Alligator mississippiensis: one gene and its partners. The protein of the gene in region 3 binds, or shares a complex with, the protein of the main gene of each other region. Links are inferred from orthologs where the notes say so. Each region holds a gene or a part of one and is shown on either strand. Other genes may lie near its edges.

The links.
Region 1: SMARCD2 (region 3) and PBRM1 share a complex: the UniProt entries of both Homo sapiens proteins name them as parts of the SWI/SNF-B (PBAF) chromatin remodeling complex. The link is inferred for Alligator mississippiensis from reciprocal best matches to the Homo sapiens genes SMARCD2 and PBRM1.
Region 2: SMARCD2 (region 3) and ACTL6B share a complex: the UniProt entries of both Homo sapiens proteins name them as parts of the BAF complex. The link is inferred for Alligator mississippiensis from reciprocal best matches to the Homo sapiens genes SMARCD2 and ACTL6B.

The regions. Positions count from the first base shown.
Region 1 is NC_081835.1:38,675,170-38,683,077, reverse strand, and holds the start of PBRM1 (protein polybromo-1), read right to left. Parts: upstream 3,093-7,908; 5' UTR 3,066-3,092; coding exon 2,991-3,065; intron 2,786-2,990; exon of another isoform or gene 2,731-2,785; intron 1-2,730. Other genes in the region: GNL3 (guanine nucleotide-binding protein-like 3), read left to right, coding at 3,678-3,690, 4,021-4,079, 6,494-6,631. UniProt on the Homo sapiens protein: Involved in transcriptional activation and repression of select genes by chromatin remodeling (alteration of DNA-nucleosome topology). Required for the stability of the SWI/SNF chromatin remodeling complex SWI/SNF-B (PBAF).
Region 2 is NC_081838.1:23,998,321-24,005,919, reverse strand, and holds the start of ACTL6B (actin-like protein 6B), read right to left. Parts: upstream 3,086-7,599; 5' UTR 3,004-3,085; coding exon 2,979-3,003; intron 2,786-2,978; coding exon 2,709-2,785; intron 2,355-2,708; coding exon 2,189-2,354; intron 1,714-2,188; coding exon 1,613-1,713; intron 973-1,612; coding exon 875-972; intron 348-874; coding exon 253-347; intron 51-252; coding exon 1-50. Other genes in the region: SRRT (serrate RNA effector molecule homolog), read left to right, coding at 4,627-4,745, 5,038-5,166, 5,246-5,392, 5,482-5,670. UniProt on the Homo sapiens protein: Involved in transcriptional activation and repression of select genes by chromatin remodeling (alteration of DNA-nucleosome topology).
Region 3 is NC_081827.1:170,136,534-170,144,277, forward strand, and holds the start of SMARCD2 (SWI/SNF-related matrix-associated actin-dependent regulator of chromatin subfamily D member 2), read right to left. Parts: upstream 3,028-7,744; 5' UTR 2,962-3,027; coding exon 2,797-2,961; intron 1-2,796. UniProt on the Homo sapiens protein: Involved in transcriptional activation and repression of select genes by chromatin remodeling (alteration of DNA-nucleosome topology).

The DNA of each region.
Region 1 (7,908 bases), on a different chromosome or scaffold from region 3:
GTGGAGCTAGGCTGTTTTCACTGGTGGTCAATGATAGAACAAGGAGCAACGGTCTCAAGTTCCAGCAAGGGAAGTTTAGGTTAGATATTAGGAAAATTTCTCTCACTAGTGTTCTAGTAAAACACTGGAACAGGTTATCAGAGAGGTGGTAGAATCTCCAACCTTGGAAGTGTGTACCTCCCAGGTTACAGAAGTTTTATAAACCCGATTAGACAAAGCTTTGGCTAGGATGATCTAGTTGGGGATGGTCCTGCTTTGAACAGGGGGCTGGACTAGATGAAGTCCCTTCTAACCCTAATTTTCTATGATTCTATGAATCAAATACATTTTGAATTATATACTGCTACCCATCCCTGCAGGGCTGGGGACTTGCACAAAGTGCTGCAATTATCTAGCAGTTACTAGGATGTTTTTTTAAACTATAAAAGCTTATGACTCCTCATTCCAAAATAATGATAAGATGTATTGTCATGATACATGAGAAGTTCAGAGATAGTTTTACAACTCTGATAAGCTAAAAACCAAAACATACAGTTAATGCAACTAAGAGTAAAATCACAACTGCTATGTAATATCTAGTCCCAGAATCACAAAAACAAACAGACAAACAAAGGATTTGGGCCACAATACAGGTAAATTTGGTTGCATTCTCAAGCTACATCATTCTCACTTGAAAATTAGGACTGAGTGCAAATTGGATCACTCAAGGAGTCTTCTCTTTTTGTCCCTGGTCTGAATTTATTAACATCACTATTGACTGAAATTATTAGGCATCCAGCAACTACTGAGTTTACTATGAAACATATTGCTGGATCCTGCCAAAATGTTAATGGCAAGGTGTCACTATTACAAAAAAAATATTTCCAGTGTCACCCATGCTCTTTTCACTTTAACAATGTATTTTTCTGTTATATAATCTACAGTTTATATAAGGTGAAGTAGTGACATAGCTATGTTCATGTTTATTCCAGTGAACAATTCATTACAAGTAAACAAACAAGATGAATGAGCATGAGGTTGGATTCACTAAGGCTAAGATAAAGAAAAATAAAAGGCCAGGCAGGGGAAAGGAAGAAGGGTGTGTATATGATCAATAATTTACCAGATTTACCAGAGTACAACCAGCACCTCGAAAAGCCAGTCTCCTCATTGTGTCCAATGGTCAGGTTAAAGTACTAAGAGATGGCAAGTCTTTGAAAATGTCAAATCAGCAATTGCATTAATAGCCAAAGCTGAAAGAGAAGAAAAATGAGAGAAAAAACAGAAGAGGGGAAAGGTTAAAAGGAGAGAGTAGAGAGAAAAAGAATTTAAGAATAACAGTTGAGAAAAGCCATCACAAAGGCTGGAGAAAAGAGGAAACATAAATTTGGAGGGGGTTATCAAAAACTAAAGGTTTTCTGCATACGCAAAGCATATACATTTCTGGAACTTTTAACTAAAATGTTTAAATGCTACTATAATGTGAGCCATTCACTAGCCCGAGTAATGCAAGTATCACTTCATCTAGTAGCCTAAGTGTAAGAGGGAGTAAGTGGAAACTGTAAGTTGATGGTACTATAAAAAAGTAGTACAGTGACAGTAAAAAGAAGAAAAAAAAAGTCTTACAACCCTAAGTTACTAGGCAGACTTGTAGCAATGACCCACACCATCAAGACTCTCCGGAAATTGCTGATTCTACTTTATTAAGCCTTAATTTAACCCCCGTTCAAAAACCTTCAGCTATATCCCTATTGCATGACAGATTTTCAACATATCATACCATGAAATAATGAGCTTGATTAAACACAGATCTACTAAAATCAAAAGTGTATCAAGTCCAGCATGGAAAATATTAATCTATACAGTTTTGTCAGCAGTGAATACCTGTTCTAAAACTGTTCTTCTAAAAAAACTGTATTCAAAGAACCAAAAAGAATAAAATGATTTTTACTCATCTAGTATGTAGTACTTTATCATTTGGAATCAAAATATTTCATGTATCCTTGAATAATGCACCAAGTACTAGTGTATCTCCACTAGAAAATTGGTCCTTATATGAAGCAAAGGATCTTGAGGACTATAAAATAATCTGATGGGATTCAAGTACAGCATCTCCACACCACTTATACAATACTAGTAAATCCTAGCCATTATATTTTTTTAAACTTCTTTAAAAGGTTAGGCACCTGAAGACCCCACCTACAGGCAGTCACTGAAGAAAATTTCTCTTCCTAATACTAAAACATAATTTCTTCTAACAATATCTGAGGATGTAATATTCTGATGTACTCCATTAAGGTCCCACACATCTATTATCAAAAGTAATCCCCATGTAAGAATACTGTTTCTACACATCTTTAAAATATTTTTAAAAGGAGCTGAAAAGTGTTTTTTAAAAGTCTAAATTTTTACGTACCCTTCAGAGTAGCTAATCAAAGCATGTATATAGATGCCACAAAAACTATTTTTGAAAGTTCCCTGGATTTCTATAAAACCATTCAACAGATAGTTGACAAACACAACAAAATGATGGGGAGAGAATGTACCATATACTGTCCTGCAGCATTACTGACAAGACTAAAACTGTGTTGTAACCTGGGAAAGCATGTCAGAGGGTTGTTTCAGAGGATAAAGCAGGAAAGAAGTTAGCTAGGCCGCACAGTTGTCTCCTCAGCCTTGGAGAAAGAAGTGTACAAGACAGATAACAAGTACACAAAACAGAGGCTTGTCCCAGTTTAATTCTTCTCCTACCAAACGCTGCAGGACTCTGTTGCTCCCGTGGCAGGTTCCGGCAGCAGCGGCACTACTGTGACAAGACGGAACAAACTTTGAAGGGAAGCGCCGCTTCCCTGGGGCCACGCACGTCTTCGGGGCCTTGCACAGCCGTGGCAAGTGCGCTCTACCCTGCTGCCCGCCCCGACCCCGCGCATCGCCAGAGTGCACCGGACCCCTCACATCGCCGGAGACGTCAAGGCGTCGCGGCCGGTCCCTTCCCAGCCCCCGGCTGTCACCTGCGCTAGCGGCAGCAGAGCCCGCCTGCCCATCCCGGGGCCACCGACAGCAAACCGCGTGACAGCACCGGGCATCGAGGCTCCCGGCGGCGGCGGGGCTTCTCCCTGCGCTGACAGCCCCCGCCACCGCCCCGGCCGGAGCAGGAGCCTCGTGGAAGCACTGCGGCAACGCGTCTCCCGCGGGGGAATCGCCCCTCAAGACACGGGGCCAGCCCGGCGCGGCCGGCAGCGGGGGGCCCTCGGCAGTCCCGTGGCGCGGGGCGGGGGGTCGCCGCGCGAGGGCGGGCACCGCCGCCGCCACGAGCGGGCAGGGCGGCCACACAAAGGGAAGCAGAGGCCTCCCGGCTACCGGGCCCAGCCTCGCCCCGCCCCGCCCCGTCCCGCCCCGCCTCGGCGCACCACCTCACCGCTCACTCCCTCACCCACCCAGGCAGCTCCGCTCTGCCGCCCGCTACTGCGGCCGCACTCGCCCACCGCTGCCGCCCTGCCGGCACAGCCGCTGTCGCCCCTCACCACCGACCCTGCCGCTGCCGTAAAGCCCGCCCGGCCGCCGAGCGAGCCCGCCAGCGCGACAACCCGTGCAGCGCCTAGGGGCGGGACGCGGAAGGGGCGGGCGGTGCGCTTTACGGCAGAGCCGCCAGGTTCGGCTCCGCCGCCTGCACGCGGGGTGAGCGCGCGGCAGCAGCCATGAAGAGGCCTAGTGAGTGCGGGGCGCTGGCGCCGCCTGGCCGCGCGGCCCGGGAACGGGAGTGGGAGCGGGAGCGAGGCTGTGGCAGGGGCCAGCGACTGGGGGCCGTGGCCGTGGGAGGTTCGGGCGGGGCCGGGACTGGGGCGCGCGGTAGTGGGGGCCGGGCCAGGCCGGGCGGTCGCGATCAATCGGAGGCTGTAGCAACGTGGGGCCGGGACTCCGTGCCCAAGACCTGTGGCCGAGGCCCGGCCACACTCGGGCGCCCGTGGCCCGCGACATCATCGGGTGCTGATAGGCGGCGGCCTTCGTCTGCCCTCTGTTAATGGCGTGTCCTGATTGCAGAGCTTCGGAAGGGCAGCAAGCGCCTGACCTGCCACAAGCGGTACAAGATCCAGAGGAAGGTGGGTCACCAAGCGGGAGCGGTCGGATTCAAGGGACCAGTTTCTGCCCCAAGCACAGCATAGGCAGGCGGGAGGGGGAAGGCAAGCAGGAAAGCTCAGGCCAGGTCTTCGCTGCCCGGCTTCCCGAGGGCTTTGGGCTGCAAAGCACTACGTGGAGCCTCATTGTGTTCAGCTACATCGAAGTCCTGAACAGACTTGTTGCATTTGCAGGGGAGGGCTGTACACTGTTCAGCACTCACCTACACGTTCCCCAGCTGGGGCCCCGTAGTGCAGCTCCTAGTTCTTTCACACCGCACATGTTCATGGTTCCACTGTTTGTCTAGGGCAGTGGGGCTCAGTAGGGCTGTCCAAAATTTCAACTGGTGTTTTATTTTGAAGCTGTTTCGGCGCCTTTTAGCTTGGGACAGTGAAATCGAAATGAAACAACAGGCTTTGAAATGAAATGAGGGCACCCAAAATGTTTCAAGTTTCAAAGCAGCCCAGTGGCGGGAGGTGGGGGAGAGCTAGGGCTGTACTCCGAGCAGCTCCGCAAGCCCCACGAAGCTCAGCCCAGCAGCAGGAGAGCCAGTGGTGGAGCTGCTCTGAGCGCAGCCTTTGTTCTGAGCGCAGCCCTGGCCAGTGGCTCTCCCCTCCTTCCCGCTGCTAGGCTCAACTCTGTGGGGCTGCAGAGCCTCTTGCTGCCAGGCTACGCTCAGAGCGTCTCTGCCACTGGATCTCCCTGCCTCCTGCTGCCAGGCTGCACTTTGAGTGGCTCCACCAGCTCCATGGAGCTCAACCTGCTCTCTCAGCGCTGCCAGACTCCTTCCAGGGGTCTGGACCCCCAGATCTGAGGTATTTCTAATGTGCTGCGTTATCAAGAGCTCTAACATAGGGCTGTCTTCTAAGTAGCAGAGGGTTTCAGACCTTGCACCAGCACAAGCAATAGGCTGCATGCTGTGGGGGGGGAAATGCTGGCATGGCATTTTTTTTGGCTGATAAAGTCACTGATAAATTCTGTGTTTATGGCATGCATGGGGCTAGGAATACAGCCCAGCAGCTTAGAGAGCAGCCTCCTGCTGGTAAGCCTGGGTGGGGAAGGAAATTGAGGCTCCCAGGGTGAGGGAGGGATGGGGCAGGTGCTGCCCCATCCAGGGTGGTGAATGCAACCCTGGGGCATGTGGTGGAGCCACGCACTGCCATTCCAGAGGGCGGGGGGGATGGCTTCCTGCCGCTGTGCTCACCCTTGGGAAAGGCATGGGGGCATGTGCTGCCCCAGATTTGTATGCAGGGCGAGGGCAGGCTGCCCACTGCAGGCTTGGAGCCAGAGCTGCACTGGGGTGGGGTGGGGTGGGGTGGGCTCAGCTGTGGGGGTACAGGTAGCAGCACTGAGAGTGGACTTTGGGGACTATGGCCATCCCCAAATTCCCCATAGCCACCCTTCCCAGCACTGCTGCTGCCTGCCCCGCACAGCTGAGCCCACCCCACCCCCACCTACCCCAAGTGGAGCCCTGGCCCAGCCTCCACCTTGGGGAAGAGGCTGGTGCAGATGCTGAACCCTAGTGCACAGCGGGCAGCCCATCTTCACCCCCTGCACAAATCTCGGGGGGCACATGCCCCTCATGCCTCCCCCTAGGGGTGCGCACAGTGGCAGGGGGGAGTCCCTGCTCTGCACCCCCTAGATGAGCTACCCACGGCTCTGCCTCGCCCTGGGGTTGCATCCGCCACCCTGGGTGGGCAGCACCTGACCCATCCCTCCCTCACCCTGGGGGCCTTGATTTCTCCCCCCCCCCCCCCCCCCAACCTACCAACAGGATGCTGCTCTCCAAGCTTCAGGGCTGCATTCCTGGCCCAGTACTTGACATGCACGCAGCATTTATTGGTGGTATTATGGGCCAAAAAAAAGCTGAAGGCTGATAATGTTATTTTTTCTGTTATCAGTGCTGATCCAATATGCGACTGATATATCAGTGCACCTCTAGTCTTTACCTCCTTGCAGAGGGGCTGGGACATGGGGGTGGGATAATTACTTAGATCGGCATTAGCCTGAGCCTGAGTTAATCTACCTAGTTTATCTTATCATGAGGGAATGCTCAGAGGATCTGGCAGTACTCCAGGGTGTCCCATCGCCCTGGCTGAGAATCATTGCAGTAGAGGTTATTTTAAGTGGATATGGGAGTCTGAACGGTGCTTGAAAATTGCCTTCAAGTATATTGTAAAGAACAGATCTTCATTGGGAGGGGCAGTGGCACAGATGATGTAATACTGTAGATCTTTTGAATTTTAAGTTTGTAATACTTAGGATTCATTAATTTAGCTATAGCTACATGCGTGTTGATTTTGCAATTAAAAATCTTTCTCTGGCCACATACTTATATGTAGGCATTTAGCTTTTCCTATTAAACTGAATTCCAATATATATTCTTTCTTGATTACAGGTACGGGAACACAAGAGAAAACTCAGGAAAGAAGCCAAGAAGCGTGGAAACAAAAAGCCCCGAAAAGATCCAGGGGTTCCCAGTGCTGCACCATTCAAGGAGGAAGTTCTTCGTGAAGCTGAACAAAGGAAACAAAGGGTAACATAGTTTAATTTATAGTGAAGTGAAAGGGGGTATGAAGACAGCCTCACTTTCAGGGGAACTTGGTGCATGTCATCCTTCACTTTACATAGCCTTAATAGCCATTTACTTGGATGGGGGTGTTTAATCTAGTACCCAGTGCTGTCCACAGCCTGATCCCAGTGATTGGGTAGGGACCTGTGTCCTGGACTTTGGGGTTTCCCCATGCCGGATCTCTGTGCTCAGCTGAGTATTGGGATCTTTCATGTATCAACCCCAACATGCCACACTTTCACTTTAAGGTGTGATACAAACAAGCCACAAAGATATTATATATGGAATATCTTTGTGTCTTATTTGCTATATTAATATCCCATAAATCGGCTTTAACATATGTACTGTTTATGGCACAATTAACATCTTAATCATGTCCTAAATGTAGTGTATGCCAGGGCCCCAAGATCTCTTTCCTGTATTGTAACATTTAATGTAGATCCCTAGTTATAGGTTGCATATTATGGTAATTAATTTCACAATTTCAGATTTGAGCTCCTTCAGGATGCTAGGGTGAATGTTGTCAAGTCCTAGTGATTTGTTACTGTTTGGTTTATCAATCTCCTTTAAAAGCTCGCCTTGTACCTCTGTTTGGATCAGTTCTGCTGACTTGTCTGTTGGGAGAAATGGCTCTGGTGAGGGATCTCTCTAACATCTTCATAATAAAGTTCTGTTGCAAAGAACTAATTTAGTACAAGTGCTAAAATTCATGCAAATTAAATTAATAACATTCCAAGTTGAGTTTTCAACCTCTTTTTAACAAATGTACCCCTTCTGCCTCAAAGTTTCACCTTGTACCCCTTTATTTTTTTTCTTGTTTTTAAGGAGGTGGGGCAGATTGAGACCTCAGTGGTGGGGGAGGGAGTGGGGCAGGGCACAGGACTGAGCCTCAGTCAGTGGGGGGCAGCTCCAGCCACTACATGCATGGAGGGCATGGGGTGATGTGCCTCCAGATCTGCACGTGGGGCGAAGGTGGGCCACTGCAGGCTGGGGCCAGGACAGTGCCGGGTTCTTCCCGGTCAGGGGCTGCACTCAGGATGGGCAGTGGCGGTGCTGGGAGGGGACTACGGGAGGGGCTGCAGCCACTCCAGAATTCTCTGTAGGCCCCCGCCCCCCAATCCTTCCCCATGCTGCCCTGGCTCCAGCCCGCAGCTCACCCTCACCCCACATGCAGATCTGGGGGCACACGGCCCCTATGCCCTCTGGGGGTGCTCATAGTGGTGGGAGCTGCACCCCTCTGT
Region 2 (7,599 bases), on a different chromosome or scaffold from region 3:
CCGGCACTGCATGGAGATGAAGTCCCCGGCCAGCGGCGACTTCACGATGCCTGGAAATGTCCCCCCACCCCCAGGAGATGTGAAGCCATGTCCCCGCCCCTCCCCCCCTCAGAGTTCGCCCTTCTCAAAGCACAGGGAATGGACCCAGGCATCTGGGGACCTCTCCCTCTGGCTCCCAGAGGGGACCCAGACATCCAGGCTGCCTCCTCTGTGCCCCCTGGGGAACCCAGGTGTCCAGGTGGGGGATCTCACCCTGCTGCAGGATGTAGCCGTCGTGCACCGGGATGGCGGTGGTATGGGTGGCGCCACTGTCCAGCACCAGCCCCGTGCTGCGCCCATTGGCAAAGCTGACCCCTGAGTCAAGGCTTGGACACCTGGGTTCTCTGCCTGCCCTGGGCAGGAGTGGACCTGGATGCTTGTGTTCTCTGCTGGGCCCAGGGGGGCATGGGGGGAGGCTGTCTGGGATACATGCTGAGCTCATGGTGCGGGGGTGGGGCTGGGGCCCCTGGAGGGGAGGTCCTGGACTGGAACCCAGGTGTCCTGGTGTTCCACTCCCTTCCTCCATAGAGTATGTTGTGACCAGGAGGGTCTGGGGAGACATACTTGGGGAGCACAGCAGGGGGGACATTGAGGGATATGCAGTGAGGATGGTGGTCGTACAGAGGAAGGTAGGGTCCCAAGGGTTTGGGGGTATCCCAGGGGGTGGTCTGGGTGAATCCCAGGGGGATACAAGGTGAGCATGGCAGGGGTTCTGGGGGGCTATGAGGGGTCCCAGGGGGTGTCCCAGGGGTGGGGGGGATATGCAGTGAGCACGACGGTCTTGCAGAGGAAGAAGAGAGAGTCTGGGGGTGGTGGTCTCCAGGGGGTTGGATACGCGGTGAGTACAGCGGTCTTGCAGAGGAAGAAAGCCGGGATGTTGTAGTGCTCGAACATCAGCTCCGTCAGCTTCTCCCGCTTGGCCCGCGTGTTCCACTACGGGGACATGGGCCGCTTGCTAGGGCAATGGGGGGGGTCTAGTTGCCATGGGGATGGGGGGGTGACCTGGTTGCCATGGGGCATGCAGGGCCTGGTTGCTATAGGACATGCAGGGGTGTCCGATTGCTATGGAGATGGGATCCTGTTGCTACAGGATAGGCAAGTGGCCGAGTTACTATGGAGAGAGGGATATTGTTGCTATGGGACATGTAGGGGGTCTGGGTGCTATGGAGATGCACACCCTTGTTGCTATGGGGATCAGAGCCCCTATTGTTGTGGAGATGGGAGCTGTGTTTGCTATGGGACAGGCAGGGGGTCGGGTTCCTATGGAGCCCAGATTCCAGTTGCTATGGAACAGGTGGGGGGGGGTCCAGTTACTTGGAGATGGGAGCCCAGTTGCTATGGTACATGCAGGGCCTGGTCGCTATGAAGATAGGGGCCCAGTTGCTATGGGACACGCAGGGCCTGGTTGCCATGGGCACACACAGATGGGGACAGTGGTAGCCGGGGGCACATGCTGTTGCCATGGGGAAGATGGGGTGGTGGTTTCTGGATGGGGGGAGGGGGAACACACAGTTGCCATGGGGAGGACATGGAGCAGTTGCCGGGGGCAGTTGCTGCGACGATGGGCACGTACCGGCGCCTCGGACATGAGCACCGGGTGCAGGCCAGGCTCCGACTTGATGTGCTTGCTGTAGGTGTGGTCCAGGATGGCCTGGAAGCACTCCCAGTCCTCCACTGGGGGGCAGGGAGCAGGGTCAGCTGACTGGCCCTGCCCCCTGCACCACAAGGTGCAGCACCGGGTGTCAGGGAGTGTGGCCACAGGGTAGGGGTGGGGGTGGGGCCTCTGCCCCCCTGCTATTATGGGTGGGGGCATGGCCTAGGATGTAGGGGGTGTGGTCAGAGCCAGGGGCGTGGCTTGTTCTGTAGGGGGCAGGGCTGGTTTGGGCATGGTCAGAGCCTAGGGGGTGGGGCATGGGTTGTGGGGGTGGGGTGTACAGGTGTGGCCAGAGCCAAGGGGGTGTGGCTGGGTTTAGCCATGGCTAGACCCAAGGGGGTGTGGCCAGTCCTGTAGGGAGGCAGGGCTAGGTACGGGTGTGACCAGAGCCAAGGGGGTGTGACCTGGGCCTAGGAGGGCATAGCCTGGCTCCTGCCCAGGGCAGCCACCTATGGGGGTGGGGCCTGGCGGCCTGGGGACAGGGCCAGGGCTCACCCATGCCGTTCTTGAGAGGGGAGAGGACCTCGGCAGCCTCGCGGGGCACATGCAGTGCATTGGTGTCGATGTAGTAGGCCTTGCCACCCTTCTTGTCCTTGTCGCCGTCCAGCTCCAGCACTGCCTCCTCGTGCGACTGCAGCCCCACGCTGGTGGGGAAGTCCGCCTGGGGCGGGGGTCAGCACAGTGCCCCAGCCCTGATCCTGGCTCCAATCCCCGATCTGATCCCCGAGCCTGGCCCCCATTTCCCACTCCCAGCCCCTGGGCCCAATCATGAACCCCAATCCCCAATCCTGGACCCCAGCCCCATCCCAGCCTCTGATCCCAGATCCCAGCCCCATAGACCCCACCCCAGCCCCCCAGTTCCGATCCTGACCCCCAAGCCCGGATCCTGGCCCCATGCTAGATGCAGAGCATGCAACATCCCTCAGAGGGCCCAACCCGGGATGGGGAGGGGGCTTCACCTTCAAACCTACTCCCCACCCCACAGCCCAGAGGCCCTGATCCAGGACTCGCGTACCTTGGGGCAGTCCTCGCCTGCATAGCCGGCTCGGACCGAGAAGGAGCCGATGTCAAAGACCAGTGCCCCGACTTCATCTGGGGAGAAGACAGCACGTGAGACCCCTCCCCATGCAGCTGTGCCTGGGGGGGGGGGGGGGGGGCCGGACTGGGTAGAATGACAGAATGCCTCGGTTCTCGATAGGGGGTCCCGGGCCCCTGGGTTGTCTCTCGCGGGGGGTCCCGGGTCCCTGCATTCTCTATGGGGCCCGGACGGGTGCCCCCCCCGCACCTCCCCCATAGACGCCTCCGCTCATCCTGGCTCGGCAGCAGGTCCCAGCGGCGCGGCTGGTTCAGCACCGCGGCGACGGACAGCGTCCGGGGGGGCGGGGGAGGAAGAGCGGCCGCAGCCAATCCCAGGGCCGTCCCCTCCCGGCGCAGCTCCCGATTGGCTGGCCGGGCAGACAATGAGTGACAATTGAGCTGCTTCTTAAAGGGGCAGGCGGGAGATTTTTTTTGAGCTGGGGCGGACGACTGGGTTCTCCCCGAGCTCCCGGGAGCACGTGCATGGGATGCAGGCTGGAACGGGGCAGGGCTAGGGTATGGGATGGAGGCGCGGCTAATTATGCAAATCACAGCACGGGGGAGGCGGGGCTAGGGGTGGTGAGGTGAAGGGGTGCCTTAGCCTGGACTGCACCACAGCTGTGCTGGGGGGGTTATTTCTTTCTCAGGCTGGGTGTGGTGGGGCGTGATTTGGTATCGCCCTGCTTCCCCTCTCATGAAAGCAGTTGGTTTCTCCCACGTTCCCCCACCTAGTTAGTCTGGTCCATCCTAGTCCCCTCCCACCACCACCCCCGCTAGGAATGTGTTGGCCTCTCCCGTTCTCCCCCCCTCCCCGAACAGAGAGTTGGTATCACCCTCCCCCCCTTATCTTGGGTTTGGTGTTTCTCATTCCACCCCACTTGGTATCACCTATCCCCCCATGCCCAGTGAGTTGTTCCCTCCCACTCCGCCCCTCAGCACCAAGAGAGTTGATATCACCCACCCCTACACCCTGTGAAGTGGTCTCTCCCACTCCCACCTCCCCCGCCATTGAGACAGTTGGTATCACCCACCCCTCTACCTGTTCCCTCCATAGCTACTGTATTGGTCTCTCCCATCTCCTCCCACCGCAGTCAGAGTTGGTATCACCCACCCCTTCTCCCGCTATAGGGAATTGGTCTCTTCAACTCCCCCTACACCGAGACTTGGTATCACCCACCTCCTCCCCCCAGATCCAGTGACTTGGTCTCTCCGAGCCCTCCCCCCACCCTCAGTTGTGCTGGGCGCCCTCGAGCGAGTCCTCCACGCCATAGAAGGCTGGACCTGAGTGAGTCCTCTGCACCATAGAGGCGGGAGGTAGACAGTCTTCCGAACCATAGAGTCCCACCTCCTAGACCGGCCCCTAGCGAGTCCTCTACGTTAGAGAGGGCTGAGACCTAGTCAGTCCTCCGCACCAGAGGCTGGGGCTAGAGAGTCCCCAGCGAGTCCTCCACGCCAGCTAGGGCCGCGGCCCGGAGAGGCGCGTGGTTAGAGCGTCCCCCGCCCCCTGCCACCACCTCTACGCGCTTCCGGCGCGGCCCCGTTTCCGCTTCCGCCGCGCGCGCTGCGGTCGCCTCGCGCCGAGCGGAGCCAGTGTCACCCCAGGCCCCCCTCAACCCCTGAGGTGCGGGGGGGCGCTGGGCTTCTGGGGAGGGGTTTCCATGGAAACGGGGGTGGGCTTGCCATAGCAACGGGAGGGGGGCGCCTTAGCGGGTGGGGGCTTTAGGGGGTGTGGGGGTCGCCATGGCAACGAAGGGTGTGGGAGGGGTCTGGGGTATCCATGGCAACAGTTGCTTGGGGTGATGGGGGACTGGACCCCCGGAGCAGCCGCTGATATCTCCCTTCCCCAGGCATTAGCGATGGGAGACAGCGACGATGAGTACGACCGGCGGCGCCGCGACAAGTTCCGGCGTGAGCGCAGCGATTACGACCGCTCGCGGGAGCGCGACGACCGGCGGCGCGATGACTGGAACGACCGGTGGGGGCCAGGCCGGGACGCCCGGCTGGGGGGGGTGACAGGGCCGGGATGCGCCCAGCTCTGGGGTAGAGCACAGCCAGGTGTAACAGCACCAGGGATGTAGCCAGCTCTAGGGTGGGAAGAGCAGGGAGGTATAGCAAGCGGGGTTAAAGTGCAGCTGGCTCAGGGAGAGGGAGAGGGCCAGGCTAGGTAGAACAAGCCTGGATGCACCCAGCCCTGGGGAGGGGGTATGTGGGGACAGCAGAGGGAGATGTTGCCCCCGTGCCTTTAATTCCTTCCCCTAATCTGGCAGGGATTGGGACCGTGGGCGGGAGCGCCGCAGCCGGGGCGAGTACCGAGACTATGACCGGAACCGGCGGGAGCGCTTCTCCCCGCCCCGCCATGAGCTCAGCCCCCCACAGAAGCGCATGCGCCGGGACTGGTGAGTCCAACCCCCTCATCCCTCCCCACGCCCCCCCCCATGGGTTGACCGCTTCTGACACCCCTGTTTCTCCCTGCAGGGATGAGCACAGCGGGGACCCCTACCACAGCGGCTACGAGATGCCCTACAGCGGGGGGGGCGCCGGGCCAGCCTACGGCCCCCCCCAGCCCTGGGCACACCCTGACATGCATGTCATGCAGCATCACATCTTGCCTATCCAGGCAAGGTAAGTGTGTGCCCTTTGTCCTCTAACCTCCCAACTCCCATCTGCCCTGTCCTCAGCTTCTACCCCGACATCTCTGCCCCCCCCACTAGGCTGGGGAACATCGCGGAGGTGGACCTGGGCATGGCGCCACCTGTGATGAAGAGCTTCAAGGAGTTCCTGCTGTCCCTGGACGACTCGGTGGATGAGACGGAGGCTGTGAAGCGCTACAATGATTACAAGCTGGATTTCCGGCGCCAGCAGATGCAGGACTTCTTCCTGGCCCACAAGGATGAGGAATGGTACGTCCCGCCCCCCCTGGAGTCCCGGTCCCCATGTAGGAGTGAGAAGTGGTGTGTTTCCTTCCATACCATAGTGAGGAATAGTACGTCTTGGTCCCCCACAAGTATCAGGAATGGTTTTTTTCTTATCCTCGTACAAGAATGAGGAATGGCATGTCCCATCCCGTCCGCCCGCCCCCCCCGCCCCGAATGAGGAATGGTGCATCCTATTCACCCCCTAAGAATAAGGAGTGGCATGTCATTCCCCCCCCAAGAGTGGAGAATGGTATGCCCCATTCTCCCCCCCACCAAGAGTGGGGAGTTACTGTACATCCTGTCATGTCCCCCCCTCATCAGAAATGGTATTTCCCATTCCTCCCTTCCCCAGGAACAAGCAGTGCTGTGTCCTATTTCTCAGAGATCTGAGGAATGGCACGTTTTATTTCTGCTGAGGATGAAGAATGGTATGTCCCATTTCTCATCAGGATGAGCAATGGTACATCTCATTTCTCTCAAAGATGAAGAATCATGTGTGTGTGCCCCCACACAGCTGCCCCACCCCTGAAGAATGAGGAATGGTGCAGACCACCCACAGCTCTATTCTCTTCACCCCCATCCCCCCCAGGGTTCGGTATGGGACCTGGGAACCAGCAGCGGGGTGAAACTGGTCCCAATTAAGGGCAGGAGATTGGGGGTGGGGCCAGTGCTCCCCTTCCCCAATGTACAGCCCGGCCCCTGCTGTGTTCTTTGGCTCCTTCCATGCCGGACTCCTGGGTTCCTTCTACTCTCGCAGCCCCACCGCCCAGTCTCCCCAGTAACAGACAGGCCCTGGGGACTGTCTCCAGACTGGTCCCAGTATAGATCTCAGTGTAAACCCCAACTCCGAGGTAGCCACATTATAGCACCCGCGTCCTGTTCCACCCAGCCTGGCCTCCCAGAGCTGGGCGCATCCAGGCCTGCTCTACCCATCCATGCCCCTCTGGGCGTACCTGGGCCTGTTACACCCAGCCTGACACCCTCCCCACCCCCCGAGCTATGCATATCCTGTCCTGTTCTACCCAGCCTGGTTCTCCCAGAGCTGGGTGCATCCAAGCCTGTTCCACCTATCCACGCCCCTCCCCAGAACAAGCTGCATCTCCCATTGCTCCGAGGGGGGCCCTGTTACACCCTGAGAACCCAGGCGTCCTGCAAGCTGACAGCCCCCTCCTTAAAAAAACCAAACAAACCACAAACTCCAATCTATACCTGAAACCCCAATTCTTGCATTTTTCCCTTTAAATTCTTCTCCCTTTGTTAGCTTTTGACTTTTTTCTCTTAACGAGTCCGTCTCCGTTCCATTGTGGATGTTAATTATAACTCACCCTTCTTTTCCCCCCCCCCCCACGTCCTCCTCCACCCGGTTCCCAGCCAGAAAGGAGAGAAGCCAATTAAGCTGCCCGCCTGCGGAGAGACCAAAAATAGCCGTTTTTTTTTCCATTATTTTCTTTTTTCCGGTGCCAATCCCGGTGCTTTCGGCGCTACCGACTCCCGGCGGCTGCCTCCCCATCCGGGCCCTCGTTAGCCAGACAGCCAGGGCCCGCCCACCACGCACAATGTGGTGCCTTAGAACTACGTAAAAGTCGGCAGGAATTAGACAGAGAGGCCGGGAAATTTGCCCAAAAACCCGGCATTTCGGGGTCTTTTTTTATTTTCCTTTGCGTGTTTGGTTTTTTTTTTGTTTTTTTTTTCCCGGATGGGGTCTTTTTTTTTTTTTTTTTTGTCTCCTGGAGTCGCCGGGAAGGAGGAAACCAGCCCAAAAGCCCCTGAAACTGGGGGCTTTTTGGAGTCGTTTTTGGGTTTTTTTGTGTTTCTGGTCCTCTTTCGCAACCCACCGGAAAAAAAAAGCCAGCGGCCCCGGGCTGGAGTCGGAGCCACGTGTATGTATGACCCGCGTCGTTCTCTCGCTGCGTT
Region 3 (7,744 bases):
GGAGAGCCTGCTGAATTATCACTCTCCTCCATTTCAAGCCTTGCCTGGTAGAGAAGGCTGCAAGCAATGCTTCGGCTTGTTCAAAGCTAATCCTGCCAGCATGCAGGAGTCTGGCAACCTGACTAGCTTTGCAGGGGAGGGGGAAGGAGAAAGTAAGAGCATCAATTAAAACATTTATACTCCTCATACTGCAAGTGCTAGACAACAGAGGACTGCTTCACTGGTTCTCCAGCAGCTCTGCTTTGGCCAGTTCCACTCCCAGGGCCAACAGTGAGGCTGTATTCAAGGTCTAAGTGGGAACCTCCTCTCCTTTTCCATTCCCAGTCAACCCGCTCTCTGGTAAATGTCACAATGGCAAAACACACATATAACTATTGACTTGGGAGCTGCTATAAAAGGGACAAGAAGAGAGGAAATGGAAAATGTTAAGTAGAACACACCACCTTTGCTTAGAGTGTGATCTGTGCTCAATTATCTCCCGAGTGGGTTTGTTTTCGCCCAAACAGAAGGCAAGTCCCGTGACCTCCAAGTGAATCTTGCCGCTGTGCTGATAGGGAGCCGTGCACAACAGTTCCTGTTGGGTGTATACGGCAGATCCAGGCAATCACTGTGGGCTGCTGACACTGACACAACATGTGTGCATTAACATTCAACTACTAACAGCACTTCCCTGGACTTCAAGCAATAAAAGCAATGGAGAACAATGAAAAGATGGCTAATGCAAAGGGTGAACTGGAAACAGACTTCAACAGTATCTGGACTTTTTTTTTTTTTTTTTTTTTAATTTCCTGATCACATTCAAGAAGATTTCTATTGAATGAAATTCTTGACTGATGCCCCAGATCCCATAACACCATGAGCAGAGTTGCCATCTTGAGGAAATATTGGAGGCCCAACTCTGGAGGGAAATGGAGTCAGTGTCGCATTCCCAGATCTGCAAACAGTACACTATCCAACCTTAGCCAAGCAATGGAGACAAGCCCATTCAAGCAGTCACCACCTGCGAATGCCTCCATTTCCTGGTCTGCCACTGGAAATGCCAACACTGGATTTGCAAAGTACTAAGAAGAAAGTCAGTGAGAGCTGCAACTGCCCAGGTTCCCTGGTAATCAGGTTCCAGGTTTTGAGCTGGGCATGCAAAATGACTGACACTGGAACACGTAAATCTTAATGGTGCACTGGGTAGCTCATCTGTACAGTGGGAACAATTCTCACCTTGGCAGTACAGAAGTGCTTTGAGATCCTTAGAAGACATCGTGACAACCCTAGCATTCTGGTTAAATTCCCTCACTTTGGCGGGCTGAATTCAAGCACATTCCCACATACACACACCCCCTTGAACCCAGTGAAAGCAACTACCCTGCCTCTGCTGAGGAGCTTTATCAGCTCCAGACACATAACGCAGTCTCCAGCGCCAGGAGGACCTTTAGAAACTCCAGCTTCTAAGGAAGCCACTAAGCTTCTGCTGTTACTTTTCAAGTTGAAGTTACCGTCTCCAGTTCATCCACTCCAAAACGGAGATCCCTTCTCAAGCTGACACCTCCTGCAAGGAAACACCCCACCCACACATCCCCGGAGACATTTAAAAAGGATCTCAGCCAAATTCAGAAAGAAGGTGAGCGCAAGTCCTCAGACACAGGAATCCTTGAGAGAGCGGGGGCACTCCGCTGGGAGTCCCCTGGCACGCTCTCTGAGGACAGCACAGACAAATCTCTTCCAGTGTCAGGGCTGCAACAACAGTTTTAACAAGCAGGAATAATTTCTGGTAATAGGGATGATAGCCTCCACTCCTAAGGGATCTCCGCCCACAAGCTTCTGGGCTTGAGAGCAGAGTTATAGATAAGTCTTGCTGCCATGGGCTTGCTTCTCTACTTCTGCCAGATGATTGCGTGTGGAAGGACAGAAGCTGGATGAGGCGACCTGGAATTAAGCTGCCATAACAGAGGCCCACCTGGTCCATGTTAGCGCTGAGTTACAAAGCCTGCTCTACTTTCAGTTAGCCCCTGGCTACTTCTGGATGAACAGGCAGGAAAGTATGTTTATGAGCTGCTTTTTCCATCTGGAACAAGGCGTGCAACACATTTTTTGGAGGAAGACTCTGTTGCCAGATCCAGGCCTTTGTCACTTAAATTAGAACAACATGCTGCGTGCAAAGCAACCTACTGATCAAGCTGGCACCTGCGCTTTTTTAAGCCAAGCATCGTGGCAGCACACACGCATAGCGTCACACCTGGGCTTTTGGAGTGGCACTGGCTCAGCTTTCCGATACGTTTTAGGGTGCAGCAGCTGAACAGGAGCCCTCCCGCCAGCCGCGCCCCAACCTGCAGCGCTGCAGCGTTGCGCCTAGCTCAGGGCACAAAGGCATCAGGCCCCAGGACTTAGCAGTGTCAAAACCCACGAAGGCTCCTGCTTGGAGACCGCGCAGGTCATCGAACCAGCCTATCAACTACCCACCACCCGGCTGACAGCAGCTCCCCGCGACCGCAAGAGCGAGTCCCCGAGCGAGCGGCAGCCCATCTCGCTCAAGAGCGCTGCCGCCATGGGGCTGCTCGCGGGCACCCGCTCCCCACATGCGTGGTCTTCCTGCGTCTCCCCAGGGTGCCGGGGGCAGGGCGCAGGCCGGGCGGCTGACATGTGGCGGGGCGGGCAGGCGCGGGGGTCCTGACAGAGGGGCCTGAGCCAAGCCGGGGCGGGGGCGAGGGGGGCCATAGCTGTTGCGGGGCTTCACCAAGTGCCCGCCAGGGGGCGGGCGCGCACCCCCGCCCCGCGCACCCGCCACGCCAGACGCGCACTGACCTGGTACTGGGCGGCGGGGCCCAGGGAGCGGTAGCCGGGGGTGGCGGGCGCGGGGGCCGGGCTGGGCCCCCGCAGGAGGCCGGGCCCGGGGCCGGGCGGGGGGGCCGCGGCGCCGCCGGGGGGCAGGGGGCTGAGCGGGAAGGCGCCGCGACCGGACATCGCCATGGCCCGGCCCCGCCCCGCTGCTAGTGCTCGGCGCGGCTCCCCGCGAGCGGCGGCGGCGGCGGCGGCGCCCAGGGCCAGACACCGCGCGGCGACAGGCCCCGCCCCCACGGGGACCACGCCCCCGGCCTGCCCCGGGAGCCCCGCCCCTCGACCTGCGCGTCAGCGAGCCCCGCCCCCAGGCGCCCGGCCCCGCCCCCGCCTGTGTCGTCACAGCCCGGCGAGCTCCTCCCCGCAGTCTTGGCCCGCTCCTGTGCGGACTCGTTCGCTTCCCTCCCTGCCTCCCGCCTGCGCCCAGCCCCGCCGTGTTCAGCCCGCGGCTTCGCCTTCTCGAGTCTGGACGTTTCCTCCGTGTTGGCGCCCGGTGTTTGCAGTCTTGCTTCTCGACCTCTGGTGGGCTGAGGTCCCGGACTTGAGAATCGGGCGGGGAGGGCGCTGGCCCGTAGCCCCCGGGGCGCCGAGTCCAGGCGGTGGGGCGGGGAGGACGCCCGCCAGGGCCCCGGGGTGGGCGGCCGGGAGGAGGATGGCGGCAGGCTGCCACCATGCCTGGGGGTGAGGAGAGGGACTGAGTTCTGCCTGCTCCGGCCATGCGGTTTCGGGAGGATTGCGTTCTGCCCAGTCCAGGTGACTCGGAACGGGTCCGGGGTATTTGACCTGGAACACGAAATGTAGTATTAAAAAAAAAAAAATTCCCTCCCAACTGCCTGGTAACTTTAGCAGGGCCGCGTTCCTCGCCCTACTTCGCTCCCGTCCCTGAGCAGAGTATCACTGGGCAGTGTCCACTAGCTCCTTGGGCGCTTTTGAGGGTCTGTGGGTGCTGTCCGGCGTCCTGGGCCTGGCCCACGCCCCTGAAGGATGACAAATAGGCCTGGTAACTTGACCCTGTTCGGAGGCGGTTCAAACTTCCCGTGCCGGCCAATGGAGCTTGGCGCCTGCAGGGAGATGTTGGGCCGTGTTGATGTTCATCCTAAGTCCCTCCAGGGCTGTCACTAGTTGTGACTGTCGCACTTTTGTTCCTGTGGCTATCGGTGTTTCATCCAGTGGCTGTGCTGTGGAGAGGAAGCTTTTCTGTGATTTTACCACAATGTGGCCGTATAAGAGGAGCATCTTGTCTTCTGCCTCCTACGTTGTTTGCTCAGTCACCTCAAGCAAAGCAATTCTATCCACTGGAGAGAACCATCCATCAGCAACCAGCTAGGACTGGCAGTCACGAGGCTGCACCACACAGACCTGTCCTCTTCTTCCTTGCTCTTGCCGCCCCCACTCTCCTCAGTGACCACAGGAAGAACACCCAGCATCTCTGAGCCTGACCAAGTAACTAAAGCCTCACCAAACACCATTGCTTTCCAGCACTCCTGTGTTCCCAGTGTCGATCTGAATATCTTTATTACTACTATTATTTAAATATATATAATTATATTTGATTATATAGAATGGGATATAGCTATGCCCCATTCTATCCAGAAAGTTTAATACACTTATCTTCCCAAAACCCCTGTGAGGGAGACTCAGACACTTGTTCCCAGTGTGCAGAAAGGGAACGGAGGGACAGGAAGGCTAGGCAACTTGCTTGGGGTCACACAGGCAATCTGTGGCAGACCAGGAACTGGAATCCAGGCCCCCTGAGTACTAGGTTAGTGGCCTAACTACAGTGTCATTGTACCTTTAAAAATATCACAAAAAGAGATGTGAGGGGCTAGACATCTCCCTTTAGACATCTCCCTTAGACTAGACATTAGGAAGAACTTCACAGTTAGAGTGGCCAAAGTCTGGAATGGGCTCCCAAGGGAGGTGGCGCTCTCCCCTACCCTGGGGGTCTTCAAGAGGAGGTTAGATAGGCATCTAGCTGGGGTCATCTAAACCCAGCACTCTTTCCTGCCTATGCAGGGGGTCAGACTCAATCTATTAAGGTCCCTTCCGACCCTAACATCTATGAATCTTTTAAAAATGTCCAGAGGAACAAAGGCTCCATGCTACCTTCCTCACCCCCCACCTCAGGAGACTTTCCAAAGGAAAGCAAAAAGGTGGGAGCAATTGAGGGAATGAGGTCTGCTTTGTTTTCTTCTCCAAGCCCATTCAGGAGCCAAGTCATGCTACCAGTCTCCTCCATGTTCCTGGAGAGTTTGCAGGTTTGGGTGGAAGTCATGGAATCACCGAGACTCCAGGTTCATTTGAGTTGGCATTTCTGAGGGCTCCACACACAGACTTTGCATCCAAGATCTGTAGTCTCTGAAGGCTGATGGTCCATCCCTGCCCCCAACTCTTCAGCACACAGGGCAAATTCACAGTGCTACTAAGCCAATTAGTTTGTATGTTGTGAGAGAAGAGGAGCTGGCTTGCAATCAATGGATGCCCTGAACTGTGGGGCTGTATTGCCCACACTAGTCATTAGAACCATGTGCTGCTCTCTCATCTCTTTTGGTACTCACTACAGCAGCCTGTGGGTCCCTACTGCCACAGCAAGGATGGAAGATAAGAGTCCAGGAGATGCTGAATTAGACCCTTGCTTGAGACGAGGGTAGATGGCCGGCGTGGCCAACTTGCAGCACATGTACTGCAAGCAGCACAGGTAGCCTCTGTACATGGTACACAGCAGATCAGGGAAAAGGCAGGCAGCGCAACAACAGACTGCAGAAAACAGAGCAGCAGTTCAGGCAGGGAGCACAAGGTGGGCAGCAGAAAGCAGAGCAGCAGATCAGAAAGATGGAGGGAAGCAGAGTGGTACTTGGGGAGGGTGTCAGGGTAACTTGTAGCACACCTGTCAAAAAGGTTGACCCCCACTGGAGCAACCTAAGCCAGTGCCACCCCATGTCTCCCCTAGGACATGGGTCCTGTTCACCTCTTTGTCCTACTACAGGCCAGCCTGGTTGCTTCAGCTTCCGCAGGGACTCATGCAGGGATGGGTGTTGTTGTTATCATTCATATTAGACTTATTAACTGTTCATTACTAGCATTATCATTATTAAAATTAGCATCTAAGTCTCACATGTATTTTAACTGCCTTATGGCTATTAATTCATGCTCCTTGTGGCCCTCATTAGAATAAGAGCAGCGAGTGAAGATGATAACAACAATCACTATAATTGTTTGTTATTGCCACTGTTGATTACTTCACTGTGCAGTGCTTCTTGCCAGTCACACCCCCTGAGGCACCCTGGCAGCAGCAGAACACAGGGGAGCTACGCAGTTCCCAACCCTCTGCTACTTACAGCTACCACCTGCTCTGTTGCTTCTGCTTTTCACGCTGCCTCACCCTTCTAGATCCACCTACACCTCCACGCCCCTGGAGGTGCCCCACGGGGTAAGGAATATCCACCCATACTCAGTCAGCATCCTCCCTATTTGGTTTCTCCTGCTCCTCTTGCCTCGTGACAGTGAATGAAGCCCTTCACCACCCAGCTGTGTGTCTGGGCTGAGAAGCAAAAAAGCCTGCCTGTCTACCTCTGAGAGGAGGGCAAGTGTCCAGCATAAACACAATAGATCATTACTGCTATGCAAGGTGTCTTGTGTGTGTCAGTTCACTGAGGTTTGAGGGAATGAGCTAAGATGGTGTCGCAGCTGTGGTCACCCTTCACAGCCAGGGAATGGAAGTATTGTTAGTATTTGTATTGTGGGACTGCCTGCAGGCCCCTGGTCAGAACTGGGCCCTCTTTGAATGAGGCATCCCTGAATGAAATGCATAAAATGACAATCCCTGCGCTGATGCATAGGCAGCAGGAAATAGGGCTCTTAGCATCTTCCATTTGTAAAACTGCTTGTTTCCTGAGCCTGAGCCTGGAAAGTGGCCAGTGTCTAATAACGGGACTGGATGAGAGTTACAGTGTCAGTATAAGCAGCCCCCTGTTCATTCCTCACTGCACAGATTCCTATAAGCCCTCTACATAAGATCTGCCATTTACTGGGTAAACCATAGGTCCATCTTGCCCAGTATTGTGTGTCAGACAGTGGCCAAGAGTAGACAGTGAAAGGGAGAGTGAACTGGGGATGACCAGGGTTTTTTGCCACTTCTCTCACTTGCAGTCCCCAGCATTTAAGGTCTAGGCAGTTGATTCAGAGGCTGTACCCCTAACTTCTGTGCTCAATAGCTACTGATGCATATTTCCTCCAAGAATTTGTCCCACCCCTTTCTTGAATCAGGCTAAACTGACAGCTTCTACAACATCTGATGGCAATGAGTTCCACAATGCAATTACAAAGAAAACAAAGAGAAACTCTGACCTTTCAGAGGCCTCATTCAGTGGCTTTAGGGAATCCCAAGCCTTCCACCCCCATCTATCAGGCATCTACATCTACGGTTGAATTTGTAACTTGAACCAATTGCACGCCTGGACTGGGAATGGGGGCTCCCCCTTATAACGATTACACTGTTAGGTTTAGTAAGAGAAGGGAAGAAATGGTAGAGAGGGAAATAAATACTTTTTTAAAAATGTATTTATTTATTTGTGAATTTGGTTAAATTCTCATGACATTTTAACCGCTGGATCAGTGGCACTGGAGATCCAGAGAAGGGGAAGGAATATTGTGCCACCGGGTTGTGCCCTGCAGGAAGTCACCCTGTCCCAGTGGGTGTGCTCTGTAGAAGACATCAGCTGTTCAGCACTCCCTGAACAAACAGCATCCCAGAAATTCATGGACCTGCTGCCAGTCTGGGACACGGAGCCCCATTGGGCTCACATCAGCAAGGGGTGCAAGCAACAGCTGCGTTAGTTTCCTACAACCAGCACTCACCTCCTTACCCTCCGAGATGTGGCCTGCAAGGAGCCCCACAGTCCAGATCTGACCTGGG